Linked DNA regions of Arabidopsis thaliana. The protein of the gene in region 2 interacts with the protein of the main gene of each other region in a pairwise test. Each region holds a gene or a part of one and is shown on either strand. Other genes may lie near its edges. The genes, in order: AT3G55240 and RHD6.

Evidence for each region.
Region 1: the proteins of RHD6 (region 2) and AT3G55240 interact in a two-hybrid assay, tested with the Arabidopsis thaliana proteins (one large-scale study listed by BioGRID).

Annotation. Positions count from the first base shown.
Region 1 is NC_003074.8:20,473,430-20,477,371, forward strand, and holds the start of AT3G55240 (Plant protein 1589 of unknown function), read right to left. Parts: upstream 1,904-3,942; 5' UTR 1,277-1,903; coding exon 1,241-1,276; intron 1,118-1,240; coding exon 1,012-1,117; intron 593-1,011; coding exon 447-592; 3' UTR 1-446.
Region 2 is NC_003070.9:24,792,958-24,796,899, forward strand, and holds the start of RHD6 (ROOT HAIR DEFECTIVE6), read left to right. Parts: upstream 1-2,256; 5' UTR 2,257-2,368; coding exon 2,369-2,896; intron 2,897-2,997; coding exon 2,998-3,102; intron 3,103-3,187; coding exon 3,188-3,253; intron 3,254-3,333; coding exon 3,334-3,399; intron 3,400-3,509; coding exon 3,510-3,641; 3' UTR 3,642-3,942. UniProt on the Arabidopsis thaliana protein: Transcription factor that is specifically required for the development of root hairs. Acts with RSL1 to positively regulate root hair development. Acts downstream of genes that regulate epidermal pattern formation, such as GL2.

The DNA.
Region 1 (3,942 bases), on a different chromosome or scaffold from region 2:
AAAAACAGCTGATCAACGTTTTTACTGATCTGGCTAAAATCTGGACTTTTGGGTTCCGAAACTTGCAAGCATATGGAAACCATGATACAAAATTTCCAAGAGTGCTAAAGCCTTTTAAGGTGACCAAAACCCGAAATAAATAGTTTATTTGAAAATATATACACACGATACATTCAATTAAAACACCACACCATCGATCCATGTATGAGCTAGCGTCCGTTTCATTATATATAATTAAACAGAGGCAATATTATGTGGACCACGTACGTATAACGTACCAAAAAGAGTGTCATCACTCCTTTTTTTGCTGTCTTGCTTGTTGGACCGATGCTAAGATGAAAAAACGATTTACTTATAAACATGCATGCGTCAGGGATAAATCGTTTTCATGAGATTCATATATATAAACTATAAGGTTTTCGAAATCTAACGATCGAACATCGCGATCAGTCGTCGGATTCTTTAGATGAATCCGAGATAATCTTCTGGATCATCTGGTTTGTCTCTTCCTCCGACATTTGCTCTTGTTTGCTTTGCCTCTCCTCATACGCCTTGAAGAATTCCTTGTTCTCTTTCTCCAGCTCCTTCCACACTGTCATTTATTTTGTTCCAATTCATTAATATTATGATAACAAAATATATAGGCCGGATATATATGTTGCAAGGATTTTTATATTTTCTTTGGCTTTTTTTGTATATGTATAAGTTCTAGTCGCCAGGTAGTCAAGTCAGTGTATATAATCATTAATTTGATTATGCATGAGCACTTATATGAATAGAAATATTGAAGATCGATCCATCACGCTAGATCCTATCTGTAGCTAATTAAGTACATATTACATGATCAAATTCTAAATGATGGTATCATAATATGATGATAGCTCCATAATTTATACATATAATTAATCCCGTTAGAGAGTACATAGGTACAGATATGTTTGTGTGTTTATAAGGATTACGGAAAGGTAAAAAGTATTAAAAAAGAGGAGAGAGAGAGAGAGGAATTAAAACCAGTAGAGGTGATGACAGGAGTGATGTTTGCATGCTTAGAGAGAGCTTCCACACACTCTTCTTTGCTCATATGGAAGATCAAACATTTCTCTATCATGTGCTGCACCTATACATACATACACACATCCAAAGATATTGAGGTACATACGTAAAAGATAAATAGATAAGATCATTCATAGAATCGACGGCCGGAGAAGTACATGAGGTTCTTGAATCAATATAATATTACCATGTGAATGTAAGAAGCAGAAGAAGAATCTGCCATTGTTAATGGAAACCCTAGAATTAACACCCAAACTTAAAAGAGAGTCTTCTTTCTAAAAGCCACTTGTGGAGATAAAGACAGCCATATATAGAAGAAGATCACGCAAAAAGATGAAGAAGGAGACAAAAGAGTGAATAGTTGAAAGATGATATGCATGCATGGGGCCAGAAGCCCCACGTGGGAGATTGATCATAATTGGCTGAGAAAGGATTAGAGGAGATTTGTAAAATCACTCTTTCTCTCTTCTCCCTTCGTTTTTTCATTTCCATCTCACGCATCCTCCACGTGATCCATGGCCCCTCTCTCTCTATACATTTTCTGCAAAAAAACACTTAGTCGTGTTTTAATTTCCATAATCTTCTAGAAATTAAATCTATACCTATTTGTTAATGTTTTAACTTATATAAGAAAATGAAAGTTAGTTGTATTGGCTCTAAGAGCACATGATTACATAAAAGGAGAGTAAACGATAAATTCGGAATTTTAAAGGATTGATACTTTAAAAAATGGCAAATAAAATAATGACTTCAACAATTGTAACTCACCGAATTCCTTTTGAAACAATATAAAACCATAGTGCGAAATATACAAGGCATATAATCATAAGTCTTAACACTTATGTTAAGGCTTACCATTAATAAAGAAAAGATAACTGTTGTAACAAACATATCAAATGTATATCTACGATGACTACCGTTGTGTGACCATCGATTTGACAATTGAAATATCATAAGAAGACGTATTAGAGGCCTAGGTCGCCCCTGAACATCGGTACGTCTACTCTTAAGGTGAGGCAAGAGAGGCATGAACTTGTTTTCCTTTTTCTTTTTCTTTTTGTTAAAGGAATGTTGAACTTGTTTAAATAGGGAATACCATGCATATAAAATATATAACTGGTAAGTTGATTGATAAGAACATTTGAAATCACTTGAGCACTTTAAGAAAAGGAGAAGTGAAGAAATATGCGGATGAGATCCAAACGTGGTTTGCATCGAGCAACATTAAGGATAGAAAATCTTTGTAATTTGTTTTTTAAAAAGTTTGCATTTTGCATTCACATGTATAAATGTTTCTTTTTTCTTTGAATATAATCTAGATTCAAAAAAGTTATAATATATATATATATATATATATATATATATATATATTGTAACTACATATTATGAGTATGAGATAATCCATATACATTAGTAAACCTCTGTCGTAAAAAGAACCAACGTAATTTACACGACATGTTATAGATAAATGTTTGCTACTGAATTTTTCAGTTCTGTCATATATGTATGAGCCTCCTCCTAATTAAGTCCTAACTCTTAACCATGCATACCAACATGTTTATTAATATTAAGACCGGTAAAAGAAACCCAGAAATTATCATGTACTTGTTAATGTAGCATAAAAGACAAAATCCCACTCCATCTCATAAATGATAATATTGATATGGATTAGTGGAACCTATTACATCTAATAAACATTACATCTGACGTAAGTTACACAGTTGATTTTGTTTTTTTATAATTAGTTTTTTGAAGTTACGCTATTGAAATTTCTGTCTAATGATTAACTTAGTTCTTTTTCTTCTGAAATTTTTGTTATTTATGAATGACACAAACCCCCGAAAAAGTTGATTACACCAACCAAATGTCGTCGATCTCTTCCAGATAATATTCATAATTTAATCATCTACGTAATTGACTCCTCAAAGTATTAATTTGGGTATAGTCGTACCACCATGACAAGTGTAGTATACGTTACAATAATGGACGGCCAAAAAAAAGGCAAAGTGATCATCAATAGTTTTTTGGTTGGGTAAGGGGACGCGGGAGATTAAAGTTTTTGATTCTAAACCAATAGGACGATGACATGTCACGTATAACAATCCACATTGAGATCAAATAATCGCAAATGGTACAACCATCTGAGTGACGTGGCGCAAATGGACATGAGAGAGAGTGAGAGAATCTACAAAGGTTACGTAAAGAAGTGAGAGACAAACACATTGTGGGTGTTTTGTCGAAATCAAAGGTTTCAGAAGGATCCATCAAATTCAGACATTAAATAAAACTACACATATTCCTCATCATGTGGACCTCTCAATTTGAGTCCTGAAACAGCAACTATTCCCTCGAATCAAATTCAAACCCTATTCATGATCACTTTCTCTCTCATTCCCTCTCCTCGTCAACAAGATTACAAACCAAGACGCCTATTCTCTCTCATCCACTTATTTCTTTTACCTAAGATACTTCCTTATCCAGCTCTTAAGATCATGCTATCAAAGTTCATTCGAATCCGTATGAGTGATTATGTAGTTATAATGAGCGTATATTTCATTTATAAGGAATTTGAAAACGGTTTATGTGTTACAAGAAAATAGTGTATGTATTGTAACGAGTAACGTATATATTACATAAAAATTACTACGGAGTTTACTCTATTTTCTTCTGTCTGTTCATTGTTCTATTTTCTCTGTGTTCATACTTATATTCTTTTGGCTTAGAGATAATCATATACGTATAGTATACCGGATTTTACTTCTAAAGCGCATTCAGTTAAATATGAACTTTCAGTTTTTAACTTTTCTACCAAATAAATTAAGGCACATCATAACTACTTTCCATGGTTATTATGCTTGGTATCTTGTGGTCGTGGAAGCTGAGTCTTAC
Region 2 (3,942 bases):
ATATTTTTTGTTAGATAATTTCATTAAATGATTTCGATTCTCTAAATTCTAGATTTTTATCTTACTAACTTATATGATTATATTATTTTCACAGTTTCATCAATAATTTATTTCACAATAATGTTGGGCGTGGGCTTTGCTCCCACTTTACTCGCTCGGCCCATCAAAAATGAGTAAATGTTAACTGGTTTGATAAGGTGTGAATGTTTTATTTGAAAGCAAAAAAAATCCTAACTTTTTTTTGTCGAAAAAAATCCTCAAAATGATTTAAAAAAGGAATAAAAAAGAACGTTATTTCAATAAAGACGGATTGTACAAAACATAAATTAGTATCGAACTAGTTTGAATTTTATTTCTACCAAAAAAAAAAAGGTTTTAGCATGTTTTGGTCTCTAAACCCAAAGAATGGGCCGAATGTCCAAAACTTCAACAAAAAAAAAAGATTATATACAAAGATATTAACGAAGATAAAATAAATAAAACAAGTTAGCCTAAAACAACTATATTATGGAGTATATTACTTATAAGTCGACGTGTCGGCTAAAGAAATGAAAGTAAGAAGCAGGTTCTTAGGAAAAATGAATCATCGAAACAAAATAAACAATGAAAATGAATCATCGAAAGAATTGATATATATTAGAATCGATCATATATATGGGAATCAAAAAGACGTGTAGATTAGCGGAAGATACGGCGATGATTTTGCTTCTATGTTTTTCGCTTCTCTTAATTAATAAACTATTTTTGGGGTTATAAAGTCTCAGTCCATTAATTTCACCTTACTGCCAGCTAACAATCCCGATGAATTACTCATAAATATTGTAATACAACAATTACTCATAAATATTGTAATACAACACTTTAATTTACGTTCATTCATTTTTTTTATCACTCCAAAAAGATAATGATGTATTTGATATGCGATCCATATTTTTCCCCGACGTCAAGATTTTTTCTATGCCATTTTTTAAAATGAGTTCTTATTATTTACATTGTTGATCATGTGGTTTTACAGTGCCACATTAGTTGCTAAAATTATATACAATACAAATAACTTATATAATTTTTCCTCACCAGTATTAGTGGTCTATGTTTGGAGTATTTTTTATATAACATATATGGTACCGACTCGATTCAATTGATTAAATACCATAAAAGATAATTCTGTCTATAGACAATCTTTTACAATATTCTTTTTTTAAAAAAAAAAATACCTTAATTTGGGTTCATTTGAGTTTAACAAATTAAAAGTGAAAAAGAACTAATGAAAACTCAGTATTCTTACTACAATTTTCAATAAATATCGAAATTTATAATTAATTAATACTTAATTTACATTTTTCATATTTATATTTATCCATTCAGTTAATTGAAAATTAAAAATAAAATAATAATGTGAATATGTTTTATTGGTTAAATAAAAATGTAGTAGATTTTACGATATATTAAACATACAACTTTTTTTTGGTTAAGAACTATTGTATAGAGTAAGGTTTCAAATAATAACAATGGAACAAATTTTTTGTCCAAAAAAAAAAAAAATGGAACAAATTTAACTGTGAGAAAATAGTGGGATAGAAGCAAATAATGGAACCAGTGCAGTTAGTACGAAATGAAAGAATATGTGGAAGTATCATAAATATGTAAAATTTAAAAGTTAGAATACCAAAATTTTAGCTATCTTTTTAAAGAGGATCTAAAAAGTATCAGAAAACATGTAAGGTTGTGTTTATTAGAACTATTCATCTAGTAGAAAAGTGATTGTCATTATCTTCAAGTATCACATTAAAAAAAAAAAAAAAAATGTTGTGTAGTGTCTGTCGATGAACATCGGAGTAAAATGGATGTCATTATCTTGAAAGAACTAAGAAATATGAGTGTCCATAGGCAGAGTAACAAGTTGTTACTAACAACATTACAAGGAGACAATGACTACAAAAAAACAAAACAAATACAAGCATTTTTAGTAACCATACGTTTTAGGCATGCTAGTCCAATATTCCCAGTTAAGGAAATGTACAAAAAATAACATATGTCTAGCTAGAATTCTATGCATTCATAACTTCGAAGCTTCAAACTGATAAGAGTTTAAAAAATGACGTAAAATATTGAATTTGATCTAATGCCAGCTTCTTTTTCTAATCAGTTTAATCAAACTCAATAAATTAAAAAAAAATCTTAAGAATACGTCACTAGCTTAAATAAAATATTAGACATAAACCACTTATATAAACCTTTATCATAACATAACTACACAAACACATTGTCTCTCTTTGCTTACCAATAGACAACCTTAAAGCCACTTTTCGTCAACAAGACACACAAAAACCCTAAACAAAAAATCACTTATCAAACTTATTAGTGTCTAATGGCACTCGTTAATGACCATCCCAACGAGACCAATTACTTGTCAAAACAAAATTCCTCCTCTTCCGAAGATCTCTCCTCGCCGGGACTGGATCAGCCAGATGCAGCTTATGCCGGTGGAGGAGGAGGAGGAGGCTCGGCTTCGAGCAGTAGCACGATGAATTCAGATCATCAACAACATCAGGGGTTTGTATTTTACCCATCCGGTGAAGATCATCACAACTCTTTGATGGATTTCAACGGATCATCATTTCTTAACTTTGATCATCACGAGAGCTTTCCTCCTCCAGCCATAAGCTGTGGTGGTAGTAGCGGTGGGGGCGGCTTCTCCTTCTTGGAGGGCAACAACATGAGCTACGGCTTCACAAACTGGAATCATCAACATCATATGGATATTATTAGCCCTAGATCCACCGAAACTCCCCAAGGCCAGAAAGACTGGTTATATTCTGATTCAACTGTTGTAACCACTGGTTCTAGAAACGAGTCTCTTTCGCCTAAATCCGCTGGAAACAAACGTTCTCACACGGTAATTACAAACAACAAAGTCTTGGTGAATATTTTTCATATAAGATGTCAATGAAAGATCGTTGATATATACTACTATCAATTTGAATTATGGATATATAGGGAGAGAGCACTCAACCGTCGAAGAAACTGAGTAGCGGTGTGACCGGAAAGACCAAGCCTAAGCCAACAACTTCACCTAAAGATCCACAAAGCCTAGCAGCCAAGGTTTGCTTTCTTGACATTAATTTACATTCATTAAAATAAAACTCAATCTCTCAACACATATTTACATATGTTTTATTTTGTTCAGAATCGAAGAGAAAGGATAAGTGAACGTCTCAAGATATTGCAAGAACTTGTTCCCAATGGCACCAAGGTACACATCCATATAACCATTTATGACAGATTTATTATATTACTTATTCTCATGATAATAATATTTGTTATGTTTCACAGGTTGATTTGGTGACAATGCTTGAAAAGGCTATTAGTTATGTCAAGTTCCTTCAAGTACAAGTTAAGGTATATTAGTTATGACAAACATCCCTCAAATTAATTTTCAGGATTGATTTAATTACCATATTTATCGAATTATTACGTAACACGTATTGATATAATCTATTGTTTGTTAGGTATTAGCGACCGATGAGTTTTGGCCGGCTCAAGGAGGAAAAGCTCCTGACATTTCTCAAGTTAAAGACGCCATTGATGCCATTCTCTCCTCATCACAACGAGACAGGAATTCGAATCTGATCACCAATTAATGAAGGGTTTTATCATTAATAAATCAGTTTATCAAACATTAATTACGTACGTTGTAATAATATCGGGGGAAACAATGATTCTCTCGATTATAAATCCCACGTAAATTTTGAAATATGATCCAAAGAGAAGACAATCGAGATTATGTAACGTTAGATTATGTGAAAATCGAGAAGTTCTTAATGCATCTATAACGAAGAGAAGACAAGAGACATTGAATTCACCGATGATCAGTCTGATATGGGTCCACACGGGGATGGAATCTTTAACTAGTAAATAAGTGTTAAAAACATAAATATGTTT